3 linked regions of the Drosophila melanogaster genome follow. The protein of the gene in region 3 interacts with the protein of the main gene of each other region in a pairwise test. Each region holds a gene or a part of one and is shown on either strand. Other genes may lie near its edges.

Region 1 (6,897 bases), on a different chromosome or scaffold from region 3:
TGTTACTTAATTATTGTTTGTTTGACCTGGCCTGCCCCTCGCCCCTCGCCCCTCCATGGCCATGGAGCACTTGATTAAGGTGGGTTTAATTACAATTTCAAATATGTGCACCAAATACTGGGATATTCGCACGCACACACACACACACCTCTGCACTTTGTTTGCGAATTTGCGTGGCAAATAAATTGGTTTCTATATATGTCCTGGTTTTTACATACCCGCTGCCTAAGGATAAGTACACAATGCCGCAGTTCGGACAATTAATTGGTTTATTTACGCATTGTCTTGCTTTTTGCTAGAACATTTAAATGTGCAATAGCACAACGAACTGTTCGGCATTAAATGCAATTTTTGGCAATTAAAGCGAAACGATTTATTTCAAGGGTAAAATAAAATGTGCAAATTGTTGGTCCTGGATGTGGCCAGGAAAAGGGTATGCACTATTCGAGCATTGCATTCGTTAAACTAAATGCTTTTCGATTTCATATTTTCTGACAAATTCCGATGCAAAAATGCAGCATACTCTCGGGCCAGCAATGTAAATTGAGTAAATTAAATATATCAGATGAAACATTCCCCGGGGATCGGATCCCAATCGTGAACTGAAGTGCCCTTGATGGGTGTAAAAGCGATGCGGAAAAATAAAAAGCAAAGTCGTTGAGTAACCACCAATGCCATAAAACCGATCCCATCGCCGTTGACATTCAGTGAGCCACTCAACCCATTAGCAGGCCCAACCCAAAATGCCAAGCCCCAAAAAGCAGTCGAAATCCCCCCGAGCAAATAAATCCCTTGAACATAAAACGCCGGGAGATGGGGTAGCAAATTAAAACTAAATATGAGACTAGAGACGGACCCAAATCGGGCCCGTCCATCATCTAATGTATACGTATCTGTATCTGTGCTTGTATCTGTATCTGTGTGTGTTTGACCTCTCTGGCCGCTGACATAAATTGATAAAGTCGGCCGATTGGCGAGGCGATGCCATGAGTAAACATTTGAGAACCGAGCCGAACTAAAACATTCAAATCGAAATCAAAATCAAAATCGAAAATGAAAACGAAAACGAAAACGAAAACGGAGGCGACAATGCAGCCAGTGTTTATTTATTAAAATCAATTTTTACACAAATTAATAGAGCAGGCGGCGAAGTCGTGGAAGTTGAGTTTACTTTGTCAATTTGCGATTTATATGCGCTGTACGATATTTTATTTCGCTTTTCGGCAACTTATCCTCCATCGAAAATTCAAAAATAAACAAATAAAGCAGCTGTCGCTTTAATGGGGATATATCTACCTACACACACACACACACACACATACAGTGAATATAGCTTAATAATGCCCGACGCGTTGGCCTGATTGTATAATTGCTCGAGCGATTCCCGGTAACGATGACATCACGACGTTGGTGTGGTAGGGGGGAGGGGGGAGGGCGGCGCTTAAAACAGGCTCTGGCAGAGAAAAAACCGAATTACAAAAAAAGCTGATAGCAAAAATTCATTACAACAATGACAGACACTTAATCACTTAATAGAGAAAATCAAAAACGAGAGCAGATCAACCAGGCTTTGTGGCGCTGGTGAAATTTTTGCGGCTAAGCTAGATTTAATTACGGATTTCAAACGGAGATAACGAGCTATTCAAACGAACGGCCTATAAAGTATAGTTTAAGGCTAATCAAATGTATTACAACTAATTTAATTAGTCTATCTACACTTTGGCATTGATCCCTAGCAGATATTTACAATTTATTGAGACTGATTAGGCTTTATAGATAAATATATAAAGAAGTTAATAGCTATATCCATTAGAGTAAGCTTCGAATATTAATCACTTCATTAAAACTGTATTTTAAGTTTTTTCTTATTACGTTTTTTTTTTACTCACACTAAAAAATCTCAACCACTTTAAATGCAATTAATGACAAATCTGTAAAAAGTGATTAACTGGAGAGCTAAGAACACAATATTTCAACCCAAATTGGTGAAGGTTATTTGCTCTGCGATGATTAAAGTTTTCAAAGCTCTCGAAATCAATTGATATTCTTCCATCATCCAGATCATTATCGTTTATCAATATGCGTACTTATGAGTCGCCCCTCGTTTCGCAGCTTGGCTTCGCTTGTTTTTGTTTTTCCACACACATTTCTAATTTTTTTGTTTTTGTTTGCCAAAGTTCTCTATCTCCATCTCTATACCCCTCTGTTCTGTTTGCTCCGATCTTATGTATTTCCAAGCCGAGTTTTATTCTCGCTGCGTTCGCTTTGCCCTCGCTCTTCTTCGCTCCCGCCGCCGCAGCTTCAGCGGTCTCTCGCTCTTCCCTCTTCGTCTTGCCCGGTTTCGTATTCTCAACGAGTTCACTTAAAGTTTGGATCACCTCCGCCGGCGAACAGTTTCAGTTTTACCTTTAATGCGAGCACAACAAGTCAGTGGAGAGTCATTCTAATATTCCGTTGGTTTTTTTTTTTCTGTGATCTGAGTTCTTTGCGCCGTGTGATAATTTATATAGTTTTTATGGCCAGGAACTGGAACTATAACTTCTTTGATATACACGTATAATAATCCGAGATTTGGGCTTCTTAGAATTCCATTTTGTTTGATTCTCTAATGATGTATTTATTTTATATGGTTCAGCTTCTTCTTCATAATTCTTATCTATTAATAGTCTTCTAAGAATATAACGTGCCTAGTTTTTTGAATTCAGAATCACAGAATGTTAAAATAAGTCATTTTTCCATAATAATCAGGCATACAAAATAACCTAAAATCTTAAAATCTCACACATAATGTGGGTTTACTCTGGAACTTTCCAACAGTTAACAGTTTCAATATAAATACATATATTTTCCTATTCACAGCTATGAAGCTCTACGCCCTGTTCTCCCTTCTGGTGGGATCTTTGGCCATTGGTCAGATTTCCGCCGCCGGATCTCATCATCTACTTTGTTACTATGACGGCAACAGTTTTGTCCGCGAGGGTAAGTCCCACTTCTAGTTCGTTCTTGGCTATATAGTTGATAAGAATCGGGGTTATCGGTGGAAGGAAAATGTACATATATTACCCGTACGTATGTACATATACATATGTGTATTTTGAAACCAAGAGATAGAGAGCTGCGCGGACTCAATTCAATTAGATGATTTTCACTTTTCATAGACACATGCTAAAAGCATAAAGCGGTGTACTTTTTTGCGATTCTGATAATTGGCAACGGGTCACAAGATCAGAGGGGAATGTTTTGCAACCAATTTGAGTAAATTGCATATAGAGAGGAAAGCCCACACAAAACGCCAGACTTGAACTAATTGAAATTGGCATCGGGTGTTCGACGATGATGATTCATGACCAGAGGTGCCACCTCCAAGGCGCTAATTGATGATGCAAACCGAGCTTATTTTAGTACACTCGAATTTTCAGCTGCCAGTGGAAGATTCACTGAATATAAAGTGTTGGCAATATTAAACACATGCTTTTTCGGGGACAACAATCAAATTTATTGATTAACTCAACGCTTCCTGTTAACAAAGCATTAGTATAATAAGCTTTTACATTCATGAATATATTTCACAATTTCCTTATTCTAAAATGAACATCAACAGGCCTCTCCAAGCTGATCCTAACCGATCTGGAGCCCGCCCTGCAGTACTGCACCCATCTGGTCTACGGATATGCCGGCATTAATCCCTCGAGCAACAAGCTGGTCAGCAACAATGAGAAATTGGACCTGGATCTGGGCAGCAGCCTGTTCCGCCAGGTGACCGGATTGAAGCGCAAGTACCCAGCCCTCAAGGTCCTGCTTAGCGTGGGTGGCGACAAGGACACCGTGGATCCAGAGAACAACAAGTATCTGACCCTGCTGGAGAGCAGCAATGCCAGGATTCCGTTCATCAACAGTGCTCACTCGCTGGTGAAGACCTACGGTTTCGATGGCCTCGATCTCGGCTGGCAGTTCCCCAAGAATAAGCCAAAGAAGGTGCACGGCAGCATTGGCAAGTTCTGGAAGGGATTCAAGAAGATCTTCAGCGGTGATCATGTCGTCGACGAGAAGGCCGAGGAGCACAAGGAGGCCTTCACCGCCCTGGTTCGCGAACTGAAGAACGCCTTCCGTCCCGATGGCTACATCCTGGGTCTCAGTGTCCTGCCCAATGTGAACTCTTCGCGTGAGTTAACATAAATAATTTCGATTGTATTAGATTTCATTTAGTATGTTTTGTTCGAAAGATTGCCCAGCATATTTATTATATATTCAATATGTTTTTGTTTATCTGGTTTAGTGTTCTTCGATGTGCCCGCTATTATCAATAACTTGGACTACGTGAACCTGCACACCTACGACTTCCAGACCCCCGAGCGCAACAACGAGGTGGCCGACTTCCCGGCACCGATCTACGAGCTGAACGAGCGCAATCCGGAGTTCAATGTCAACTACCAGGTGAAATACTGGACCGGAAACCGTGCTCCGGCCGCTAAGATTAACGTGGGCATTGCCACCTATGGACGTGCCTGGAAATTGACCAAGGATTCGGGACTGACTGGACTTCCACCGGTTGCCGAGGCTGATGGTGTGGCTCCTGCCGGAACCCAGACCCAGATACCCGGACTTCTTAGCTGGCCAGAGGTGTGCGCCAAGCTCCCAAATCCCGCCAATCAGCATCTGAAGGGCGCCGATGGTCCGCTGCGAAAGGTTGGTGATCCGACCAAGCGCTTTGGAAGCTATGCCTACCGCTCCGCCGACGACAGCGGTGAAAACGGAGTCTGGGTGGGCTACGAGGATCCCGATACGGCGGCCATCAAGGCGGAGTATGTTAAGCGCGAGGGTCTCGGCGGCATTGCTGTTGTCGATCTGAGCTTCGATGACTTCCGCGGCGGCTGCACTGGCCACGACAAGTTCCCCATCCTGCGCCAGGTTAAGAGCAAGTTGTAGAGCTCCTCATCCTTCTGATTCTTTTCCCGAACGAAAGAACAACGTGTTTTTATTTGCCCCACTGTTTTTTTTATATGTAATTGACTCAACGCAAACCTGTGTAAACGCGAAATGCAAATTAAATTAATATAACATTGACACCAAAAAAACTTGTCTCTTACTTGTTTCTGAATTTTTGTAGCTTACATATATTTATATAACCAGCCAGCCGAATAACGGGTATCTGATAGTCGATGAACTCGATTTTAGTGTTCCCTCTTGTTTATAATTTGAGTTTCCCACACTTTTCCACATCTGCTTTAAGCCACTCGCTTTAGCTAATTATTTATGCTAATTGTACTCAATTGAATTACATAACATCATTATATAAAGCTATTAACCCATTATGAACCTTTATAAAGTTTACTATCGTCAAATAAATTATGTTAATATGACATCAATCGTGTTGCCGTGCCTTTTATGCCAATTGTTATCGGCCAATTAATTATGTTGATTTTAGTGCACTTTTCGCACTCGCATCGCATTACAGTGAGCACTCGCTGTGCGTGAACCGATGCTCATTGCACATTAACTGTAATTGAGTGCAACAACTTCCAATTACTTTCCCCCGACGGCAAATAAACTGATTAGAAGGCCGGCAAATGAACGCACTCATGTATGCATTGTGCCGCCGCATTGTCCCCGCCTCTGTCCATGTGAAAGAAGTATCCTTCTGCTCCCCCTCTCGTGGTCCTTGTCCTCGTCCCAGCTCTTTTCAATAGCCTAGTGTGGGGCTCCTTTTATGATTCGGACTTTTGTGCCTGGTTCCTTGTGCTGCTGTGACTTCATTTTGCTGCTCCTTCCGGCATTTCGTGTCAGCCTGTGGTCGCCGGCTGATTGTTTTATGTGCGGTGTTTGTGCCCGCTCTGCACGACCCATCAAGCCCTCGGACCACCCACTGCACCACCCACTCACTCTAACGGAAACGGAGCAAAAATCCCCTCCTGCTCCAGCGACTGCCTTCTGAACACAGCAACGGCTTCAACTGCAGTCGTGTAGCAACAGTTTCCATTGCATTGTGGCCAATGGCTCATTCATCTTTGGGCGGTGGTCATGCTGTGACCACTTGAACCATTGCCGCTGACACCCACCAAAAATGGGTGGATGGACTGGGTGTTTGGGTGGTTGGGTGGTTGGGCGTTGCTGCCATGTTGCCTTCGCCTGGATCACTTTATCATTTGCAAAATTGCAAAATGCAACCGCAAAAACCATAACCCGGCGCAGGCAAAGTATATTTTAGAGCCCCAGACTCCAGGACCGAGCATCACGCATACGCACTGTCTGCTCACCGGCCCAACCAGGAAGTGCCACTCCCCCATCCTTATCCGCAGCCCGCCCCCCGAATTCGAGCCAACACTGGGATGCCGTTGATTTAGTTCTCGGTTGCTGAAAAGCGCATTGGATTTTCGGAAAACCGGTGAACACTGAGAGAAAAGTAAAGGAATAAGTGATAACAAGAATAGATGTTAAGTTGCCCACTTGATGAAATGGAGTGAAATAGTTTTGATACAAAAAATGTCGAATTATGAAACCCTATAAACTAACAAGTTCATTTTAAAAATCGGTGGCTATACATATGCTCAGTTCAGCAGCTTGAAAATGCTATTATGGACACCAGGTTCCTGATAAGATTACATATTATTACAAGCTGTAAAAGCAGCTGGTTTTTCTTTCAGTGCACATCCTGCCTGCTGTTTGGGCATATCACTGGCAGCATAAATCTCGTGTCGGCACTGAGCAAGTGGCTCCTGGTTTGGGGTCTGGCACTGATCCTGCTGCTCATGTTGCCATGTTCTGCAGTGACCAAAGCCCCGCACCTCCTTTGTCCTATTCCGCTCCCTTTTTAACCACCACCCCCCCCCCCTTTCAACCCCTTTAACCCCCTCTCACCACCATTCTTACTGGGAACTATGGCTTTAGCCTGGGACTCCT
Region 2 (5,851 bases), on a different chromosome or scaffold from region 3:
GATGCTTTGCAACATCGTTGTGCCGCCGGATGTAGCCGATGTCCAGGTGAATGGAAAGCCATTGGAGCAGTTGTTAGCCACCGTGTCGGAGCGCCAGGCAATGAACAATCCTGGCCCAATGAAGATGCATGAACTGCACACCGGCAATGCTGACTTCATGAATAGCAATAGCCAAGTGGCAGAAGCTGCTGCGTCAGTGGAAACACTGCTAGCGTCGACATCGGACAACGATAGCGACAGCGATGGACTCGAATCAAAAACGACGGATGGTTACATTGTCAAGGAACTGATACCGTCGTTTTCCGATTTCCCGGATATCGGTGATGTTAGTTTGTGTGCACTGATGTATGGACTGCCCATGGATGCCGTTGGCATGCACTGGAAGCTGCCGCCGCAGCGTATCCAGGATATCTGCAAGGAGGACTCTATCTTCCCGATCATCATGAGCTGTGTGAGTGCGCTTTGGTCCCGTGCCAAGCAAAGAGACAGCTTTGAAATAGGAGTTCAATCTTTTTTTTTTTGTTTTTTTTTCTTGCGCAGGTGTTCTCTCCGTGTGAGTTCTGGTTCCACATTGTGCCACCGCAGTACGCCAAGAATCCTGTAGCCGAGATGACCATTGATCTAAAGTAAGCTACTAACTAAATCGATTGATTGACTGATTGATTGATAATATTGTTATTTAATGCCCATAGCTGGTTCTATCGCCATACGACGATCAGCAGCTACCGTGCCGAGTTGCCTAGCTATTTCTATAAAGAGGGCTACATATGCGCCGCCTACAGCGAGTGTGGCTGGCGACGTGCCATGGTGCTCGTCACCGCACCGTTGGACGCCCAATGTGTGAACATAGAGTATGTGGATCATGCCCTGTCTGTCACATTGGCACCGAACCATCTACGATTCCTCCCACTAAGCTTTGCGCGCACACCGCCATTGGTATTTCGCGGCAAAATGTCGCACGTACGCCCATTGGCCAATGGGTGGCCAAAAAATGGTATCACCGCATTCCAGCGCATGACATTCAATAGGGTATTGTATGCCCATGTCGGCGAACTGGATACCGCTCAGGGTATATTCTCTATGCGGCTATCGTATGATGAAACTTTTGTGCCCACCATCAACGATCTAATCGAGTCGCGGATCAAGTTGGAGTCCTGTTGCTATGCGCCCGAACTGCAGCCTTTTGGGATGGTCGAGCCGCTAATTATGCCGCTGCACGATTATGATGATGATGATGATGATGATGATGATTTCGCATTCGTTCCATAGGGATTACCATGTGCCCAAGGCGCTGAATCCATTTCAAAATAAAAATGAATGACGCACTTCTAGTGGGCAACCAGGAGCAGAAGCAGAAGCAGGAGCAGGAATGATGAAAACAGGACAAAACCAGACGACGGAACATACATAAATCATCAAGCTGGCATGTTTGCCAATCATTTATCTCAGGGATGAACTGCATCATTTGAAAAGTGTAACTTGAACATGAAATTGCTGTTTGTTTTTTTTTTTCTTTTTTTTTTTTTATTATTATTTGTGAAATGTAATACCATACCCATAATTTTATTACCAAATAAAGATGCGAAAAGGTTGCCAGCCAAGTGCACGTGCACAACTTCTGGACAGGATGGGCCGGGAATTCTAAGCCAAAACTAGCGTAGCATGCCAAATAAGTGAACTTTGCAGGCGCTGCAGACTTGCCTGGTTGGTTGGTTGGATGGTTTGGATTTCCATACCGAATTGCAGTAAAAAAAATAGATGTGTGCTGCAGTGCGTCTGCCGCTCGTCGGCTGGCTAGAAGGGCTCCTCCTGCGCCTGTGTGGCAGCATCACTCGGCTGCTCGGCGAACATGCGCTGTCGACGGCACACAGTTGGCGTTGGCATATCGTCCGCATTGCTAATGGAATCGCAATCGTAGTGACTGGGCACCTCGGGTGGCGGAGCATCGGCATAGTCGGTTGGGATGTCGGAAGCGGCGCCGAACCACGACAGCATCATTGAGACCTCATGCCACCTACTCGAATTGGACTGCGAATCCAGCTGCAGTTCATCGTTTAGCGGCGGCGGCACCGTTCCACTTGGCTGATGCGATCCAATGGTGGACGATTGGGCGCCACCAACAACCCGAACCCAATTGCTGCCGCTGGCCAGCGGAGATAGGTGCGTCTTTCGATACGAATCAATGGAGCTTTTGACTCGACGCATATCCAGCGGTGATGTGGCTGCCAATGTGGATCTTTCCTTGTTCAGCGTCACCAGGCAGGACTGCCGCTCCGGCTCCTCATCCGCGTCGCCATCACGCCGATGGCGTGTGTATTCCAGCTCCTCCTCACCATCCAGATCCTCGTCCATCGATTGCGCCAGACAGTCGTTCGAATGGAAGCTTTGCTCCGAGTACGACTGCCCCTCGCATTCCATCTGCAAATGATCGCCCTGCTCCGTCGATCGCTCACTGGTCACCGCCAGCAGTTCCTGCTGTTGTTGGCAATTGTCCGTGTATTCATGCCTGGGCCTGCTGGCCAAAACAAAAAAACAAACAAAGGTGAACATAACCCCACAATTCTCTAGAAGATTTACATACCTTGTGACCGGCTGCTGCGCTATGGACACCTGGTAGGAATTGGATGACGGTGCCGCCGGTGATGCTACTGTCGCCGCCAACGCTTGCTGCTGTTCATGTCTGCGCTGGCGTTGGATGAGCATGCGTTGGATATTCTGTCGCGACTGATCGTTGCCATAGGAGATGCGCTTGGCGGCCAAGTCGCGACGCTCCACGGCCGCCCGGCGTGCATCGTTCGCCGCCTGCAGCTTGGCCGTCATCCGGAGTTCGCTGCGCAGGAAACCGCCGGTGCCGGCCTCGGCCATTAGGCCATTCCGACGCGAGATCTCCTGGCCCAGTTGGCGTGCGCGTGCCAGCGTCTCTATGCGCTGTTTGTGCATCCGCTGCTGGGGCGTGCTGCTAGCCAGCGTGATAGCACCGTGTGCCTGTTGCCGTCTCCGGCGGGTAACGCGTCCGCCGGCTAAACCAAACGATTGGTCAACATTCGATGGCGATGATGCCGTCGATGTGCCGCCACCGCTGGCGCCACCGGCCGCCCCGCCAGCCACCTTAATTACCTCGATCTCGCGAAATAGCCGCTTTAATCGCACCTGTCGCATCTTCATTTCGATGGTGCGATCGTTGAACTCCTGGATGCGCTCGTACTCATCACGCAGACGCTGCAGTTGGCCATTCTTCTTGCTCTCGTTGAACATGCGACGAAAGTAGGGCGTCGATTTGATCTGATACGACATGATGGTGTGGTTTCTACTCTACCACGGATTATGGATTGGATTTACACGAAATTTGATTTTTATTTACTAACGAAATCCGTACAATTTGGATGCGACCGAAATGTGCGTTTTGGATTTGATTGAATTTGTGCTGCGGAATGTTTGGGATTTTTTGTTTTTCGTGTGTGTGATCTCAAGTTTGGTTAGCAAATGCCAAATGTTGCTGGAACCCGAAATGACATGACCACGCAGCGCCTACTTGGTTAACAATCCAAATGCTGTGGGCAAAAAAAAAACAAAGCTGATTCCATGTTAACATTTAAATGTCCAGAGTGGTTACAATAATTTATTGATCGAATTGCTTCTTAGTGCCTGAATCTTAAAGCTAAATGGGCGGGATTATGTGTCGCAGACACGCCTCCGCGCCACAAATCATAGCATATAAGTAGTAGTAGTAGCATAGCATATATCATCTGGTCACTGCTGTTGGCTGCACTGCATCTCCTGCTACCCACATCTCGCGCTTACAAGCTAAACATCACATGAGCATACACATAACATCGAATACATAAACGAACACAAATGAGGCGAACATGTTTAAAAGATGAGTTAAATAAGTAAAAAAAAAAAGATGCGCTGCTGATTGCTAATTGCTGGGCAGGATTGCTGCTTACGCCTTCACCAGCTTGGCCATCATGTTGGTCAGCTTGTGCTCGTCGGCGCCGGCAAAGGAGGCCAAGCGTCGATTTTGGCGCAAAAAGACAAACGTTGGCATGCTGCGCACCTTGTAGCGCTCCGTCAGCTCCTCGAATTTGTCCACATCGATCTTGAGCACCACCGCCTTGCTGGAGTATTTTCTGGCCAGCGATTTGACGGTGCTCTCCATTTCCTTGCAGGGACCACACCATGTCGCATAGAAATCCAGCACGATTAGCTTGTCGTCGGCCGCCTCGATGCGCTTGTGATAGTCGTTCATGGTGCGTACGGATGCCATTTTTATGTCGCGAGGATTAGCAAAGTGTTTTTCTTCTTTTTTTTAAATTAAAGAACTTGACGTGATGGGGCTGTTGGCGCTTTCGCTGCAAATTGTGAACTGATTGAAATGGCGGCTGCGTAGGCGACTTTATAGGGGTCTCCAAGTGGCGGTGTGTAGAGTGGAATTCCCGCCAATTTGCATGCTGAATTCTCGCGTGGCCGCTAAACAAAATGGCGGCCCATGGAGAGTGCAAAATGGCGGGCGTGTTAGGGTTGCCAGGTCGTTGGGAAAGCCAACCGAGTGTGTTGGGGGGTGGGGAACATACTTATTCACCACGGCAGGTCTATCGATATCGATATGAATATTATTATCGTAATTATGGCAAAATAATGGCGTCACACGACATAGTACTAATATTTTCCTCGAGTGTTGCCATAGCCGTGGTAGGTTCGAAGCCAAACTCACCTCAACACACCGCGCCGCTGACATTTGAAAACACTTTTTTTTCAATCCAAGAAGGCCGCAAAATATTTGGCGAAAACTGTATAAAAGAACGCCTGCCGCCCTACAATTTTCATTTCGGGCTGATATCTCGGCGAGGGCAGAGCTCCATTAAAATTCAAAAGTAACAAAACAAATCAAGTGAATTTTACACCCAAAACAAGATTTTCTAACATTTTCCTTTTTTTTTTCTTTCTTCTCTTCCCATTTTTTTTTTTTTTTGTTTCGTTTCGATTTGCAATCCGTTTGGAATTTAGTTAAAGTCATGGTGTACCCAGTGCGGAACAAGGACGATCTTGACCAGCAGCTAATCCTCGCCGAGGACAAGCTGGTGGTAATTGATTTTTATGCAGACTGGTGCGGACCTTGCAAGATAATAGCACCCAAGCTGGACGAACTGGCGCAGCAGTACTCGGACCGTGTCGTCGTACTCAAGGTGAACGTGGACGAGAACGAGGACATTACGGTCGAATACAATGTGAATAGCATGCCCACTTTTGTGTTCATCAAGGGCGGCAATGTGCTGGAGCTCTTCGTTGGCTGCAATTCCGATAAGCTGGCCAAATTGATGGAGAAGCATGCCGGCGTTTATACCGATGAAGCGGCCGACGTTAAGGCCGTCCATATCGATGGCGAATGCATTGTCGATCTGACCGCCGAGTCCAGTGAAAGCGACAACGACAACAACAACGTTAATGAGGTGTCCGCCCACGACGAGAATGCCGTTCTGGAGCACTAGGCAAAAGTACCATTACACTCCGAACATAACGACAACATATGTATGTAAGTACGATTGCCGGAGTGCAAGCATTGTGGTCACATAACCGATTCCCTGCTCCTTCTCCTGCAGCTCATCATTCAACAGACGTAACGGAAGAAAGCAATAGATATATATATATATATATACATAGACACACACACACACACACACACACACTTATCGATGTATATATATATATATATATATATAATACACACACTTATCCCAGATTTATTATGCACACTCATAATACTCATCATTTGTGGTGCCTAAAGTATGATGATTGCATTACAATTGTAAGCCTGATGATGTTGTTACGGCGGAGGAGGACTACGTCGCTG
Region 3 (4,322 bases):
TTTAAAATATGTACATCAGACGATGATACTGGATTAAAGTTATAATAATATGACTTCCCTTGCCAAACATTCGTATCATTTATCACGATGAGGTAGGTTCAAAAGGCAAGAGCACGCTCATCCAGAAATAAGTCCACAGCCAGAGGATTGTAATGAAATACCAAAAGGCCCAACAAAAAGGCGTCAGGTGCAGACAAACACATTCACGCCCCACGCACACAGACACACAGACAGACAGACAGGCAGACACGCAGGCACTGAGGTCCTCGAACGCAGCGGGGTATCCTGTTTGAGCATTTATCCTGCCCAGAGGCTCCTTTCTGCAGGCCCACGCTGTAATATTTAATTTAAAATTGTAACCCCCGGGAATTTTGCTTATGACTTTGCGAACGCAAGCGAGCGTCAAATGAAAAAGTGTCACACTTAACCAGATCCTCGGTATCGAAGTGCTTTGTTCAAGGACCTCAAGTTGCCCCAAATTGAGATTGCATTGCAGTCGGGGGCAGGCAGCGATTTTGGTGGATTTGTGCCGAGTTCCTTTCCTTCTGGCACTTTAGGTGCGATTGAGGCTATATTTGGGTACCGAGACATACAGGGAGTTTGGCGGACTATCATACCATCGAAATTAGTCACAAAATTAGTCAAATGATGTTTTAAAGTTGGCTAAATTGGTATACAAGATGAATACTGGGGTGCAGAAATATACAATAATTTATTTACAATCACAAAGCCCCATGGCTCTATCACGAATATTAATTTTTATTCAACAAGGGTTAATTTAGCGATTTCTTCCACCAGCAGACATGATTATTGTGCCCTTTAAAGCGGCTTTGCAGTCGAGCCCTTTCCGCCGTCACACACGGCAATTAATTAAAATTCAATTAAGAACAAAGCTGACACGTGCGCAGCCACAGCCACATTGCTCAATCATAATTTAAATTTGGCCAGGACGAGATTATCCTGCATAGAGAGCAGGATACCGGAGGCCAGGACAATGTAATGTAATGGCTGCGTGTGCTCCTTGCTAATTGCAAATGAAATACGATTCTCATTAACTTGTCCTGGCTCGTAATTCACTTACTCGAATTTGCCACTTGAAATCGAAGGCCTCTGGATCGGTTGGCATGTTGGTCCTGTTCTGTTGATCTCATTATCACCTTGCGGCATTGTTGAAATATTTGCAAGAGTGTCCAAATACGGCCAACGATTCGTTGATTAACAAATTATGATTTATTAAACGGCCTTATGCAAATGCAACGAATGCAGGATGTGAGAGGTGACAAAGCGGAGGAAGTGCCAGATGAATGATAAACTGATAAAAAAAAAAATGAATTAATTGGCAATTAATTACGGATTCATTAAACGAGTCAAATATCATCGAAATAAAATGTATTTGCGCGCACACTTAAATCGCTCGAATGTCAGTGCCAAAGTATTTCTTTGGCAACATTTTAAAGCCGAGTGTCGGAAGGGCCGGGAAAATTTAATGTGATTTATGTCGGACCGAATTGTATGCATAAATAACGCACTCGAATTATTATTAAATGCGAAGGACAAACTTGTTTTCATAAATATCAAATTACGTACATTGCAGCATATTTTCCCATTAAACAAATACACCAATCGCCAACAGACTGGCCAAATTGCTTTGTCCGCCAAAAACATGTTTTTGTGTTCCACCTGACTTTGTAGCCACTGAAAAGCGAGTGTGTTTGCTGGTTGCATATTGCAGATTGCAAAAACATTTGTAAATGTTTCAGCTTTAGTTTGGTGAGCGAGAGTCAACAGCCAAACAGGATCAAGGACTCTGGTTCTGGCTGTGACTCCGAGTCCTGTTGGATTGGAGTTGGGATATTTGTGTTGCTTTTTTTTATGTTCGCCCACCGTGCAAAACTAACTATTTATTCAACAAATATGCAATAAAATGCATAGTCGGTCTTCACATTTTCCCGCCCATTTCCAGCCCCATTTAACGCAGTTAGAAGCGCATTTTCCGCATTTTCAATTCTCCGGCATTGCATGACAAATTGCATTTGAGGTTTTTCACATGGACATTGATTTAATTACCAAATGAATTTCCTTGCCGGCCAAAAGTCGAATAAGAAGTTTAATTTCCCCCAAGTCTGGCCAGCAATTTGCATATACACTGGCCAAATCCTTTTACGTATCTGTATGTCCGCCTGCCCTCTGCCCGTTTGAGTAATTTCATTATGAGTTTTAAGACTTTTAATTAATTTAAAAAGTGAACAATTTTGCACTCTTTTTCATAACAACTCCGGCCGGAGTCCGCATTGCATTCCGTAGTCCTCAGTAGTCCGGCTTTTGTCTGGCGTAGTCTGGACGAACCGGAAGAGTGGCATAATTTCCGCACCGCCTCGAACTTGATGCAAACATTTCATCTGCATCTGCATTTCGAGTGGTCCGGAGAGCAGGAGCCAGAACAGGAACAGAATCGGAATCGGAATCCGGATCAGGAGCCAAGGCAGGGGCACTGGCAGCATCAACAGCATTCAATTAATTTTCCGTACTTCTGCCATCCACAAAAGCGAAACTTTTGCAGTCCGACATCCGGCATTGTTGCCAACTTGAATGCTTATTTACGGACACAACAGCGCCAGAATCTCCCGGATTATGCCGAACATCATAAAACTTGTATCGACTCGTTAAACTGGCAAATGAAATGAACCCGACAGATGACAAAGCAGCCTCAATTATACGGATATCAAATGGAAATATGCAAAGTTAGTTGTAATATGGGGAATATTTCTTAGTATTAAACTATTGTGAACTATGCTAACGAGTAGTCTGATTAAATTTGAAAATATATTTAGTGAAGTGAGTGAGTTACTTCAAGTATGCCCGGAGCTTTCATTCATTTGCATGTATGGTTGTATTGTAGTAGCAGAACGAACACCTTCTTTGCATCGAAATTTCTCTAATAAGGTAATCGAATAGACGCAAGGATGTCCGCCGAAGTGGAGGAACTATTGAAGCGCTTTCAGTCCATGAAGAACGTCACCGGCATAGTTGTGGTGGACAACGACGGCATTCCGATCAAAACGACCCTGGACTACACTCTGACACTCCACTACGCGGCACTGATGCAAACGGTGCGGGAGAAGGCTCGCCAGGTGGTCCTGGATCTGGACGCCACCAACGAATTCACCTTCCTGCGGCTGCGGACTGAGCAGAATGAGGTGATGCTGTGCCCGCAGGAAGATTACTTCATCATGGTGATCCAGAGCCCGTGCGACTAGAGCACAATATTCCAGGCCCAAGCTCATTCCGCTGGCAATTATTTTCAGGCAGAGTGTTCAGTAAATGTTATTAAAATACTCGGCATAGTCTCGATTTCGCACACCAGCATTTCGTCATTAATAGCATTCAGTTGCAAATTATTTGCATTGGGAATCGCAATTGAATTGGAATGTCACTTGCGTGCGGAGCACTCTTATTCGATATGCATCCTTTGGCCCGCATGCATACATATACGATATGCATGGATCCTTTACCCCACGAAACCCGGCATCCTGTCCGGGCAAACTCATTTACAATAAATGAAGACTGACTGAGGCAGCCACGAAACAAATAAACTTTTTTGCGGCCTCGCCAGGATGCGAGCATGTAGGGATACGGATGCCACGGCCACCGAAGTGGAGGTTCCTCCTCTGGGCTTTGCTATTTTTCATTTAATTAAATATTTTACATGCAAAGTGCATTATGAGCAGTGGGCGAGGCAAAAACCAAGCAGATAACTTGGTAAAGTCACACGGGCGCCTCTCGGGAGGCCAGGACATCGATGCCAATCCATCTATCCACCGGTGCAGGACGAAACTATTCACTCGAGATAACTTCATGAACAGTTGTGGCAGGATATAGAGCACTACTGTCGCAGCCATCAATTCGAGACACCGCAAAAGGGGGGCAGAAAAGTGGATAAGTTATTTTTCACCTCGATCCTAGAGCCTTAACTTCATTAGCCTAATGACTAAATGCACTTTACCATGATCTACATCGATGTAGCTATTTTCTGCAGCTGCTTTTCCTGTTTCCTTACTGTTAGAGATGTTAATTGATTTTTTTTATAAACCTGTTCTTATTTATAGTTGTATTACCTTGGATTGGATCCTAGGATCATGTTTTCTTTATAAAATTTCCTTTTGACAATTGTAAATTAAATCCGAATCAAGCCAGTCGTCTTTCACCTGTCAGCATGTCCGGCGTAATCATATTTCTGTGTCTTCCAATCATTGTTTTCCATTTTCCCGAAAGCATGTGTGTCACTTAACAGCAAACATAACATAGATTGTTGGCTGCACACG

The links.
Region 1: the proteins of robl22E (region 3) and Idgf4 interact in a two-hybrid assay, tested with the Drosophila melanogaster proteins (one large-scale study listed by BioGRID).
Region 2: the proteins of robl22E (region 3) and CG4198 interact in a two-hybrid assay, tested with the Drosophila melanogaster proteins (one large-scale study listed by BioGRID).

Annotation. Positions count from the first base shown.
Region 1 is NC_004354.4:9,926,437-9,933,333, reverse strand, and holds Idgf4 (imaginal disc growth factor 4), read left to right. Parts: upstream 1-2,385; 5' UTR 2,386-2,426; exon of another isoform or gene 2,427-2,453; intron 2,454-2,859; 5' UTR 2,860-2,861; coding exon 2,862-2,979; intron 2,980-3,601; coding exon 3,602-4,162; intron 4,163-4,276; coding exon 4,277-4,926; 3' UTR 4,927-5,361; downstream 5,362-6,897. UniProt on the Drosophila melanogaster protein: Cooperates with insulin-like peptides to stimulate the proliferation, polarization and motility of imaginal disk cells.
Region 2 is NC_004354.4:5,310,876-5,316,726, reverse strand, and holds CG4198 (uncharacterized protein), read right to left. Parts: upstream 3,470-5,851; 5' UTR 3,295-3,469; coding exon 2,582-3,294; intron 2,516-2,581; coding exon 1,795-2,515; 3' UTR 1,537-1,794; downstream 1-1,536. Other genes in the region: CG15930 (uncharacterized protein), read left to right, coding at 1-451, 541-626, 693-1,269; dhd (deadhead), read right to left, coding at 3,944-4,267; TrxT (thioredoxin T), read left to right, coding at 5,016-5,489.
Region 3 is NT_033779.5:2,289,264-2,293,585, reverse strand, and holds robl22E (robl22E), read left to right. Parts: upstream 1-2,847; 5' UTR 2,848-2,882; intron 2,883-2,887; exon of another isoform or gene 2,888-2,943; 5' UTR 2,944-2,963; coding exon 2,964-3,257; 3' UTR 3,258-3,362; downstream 3,363-4,322.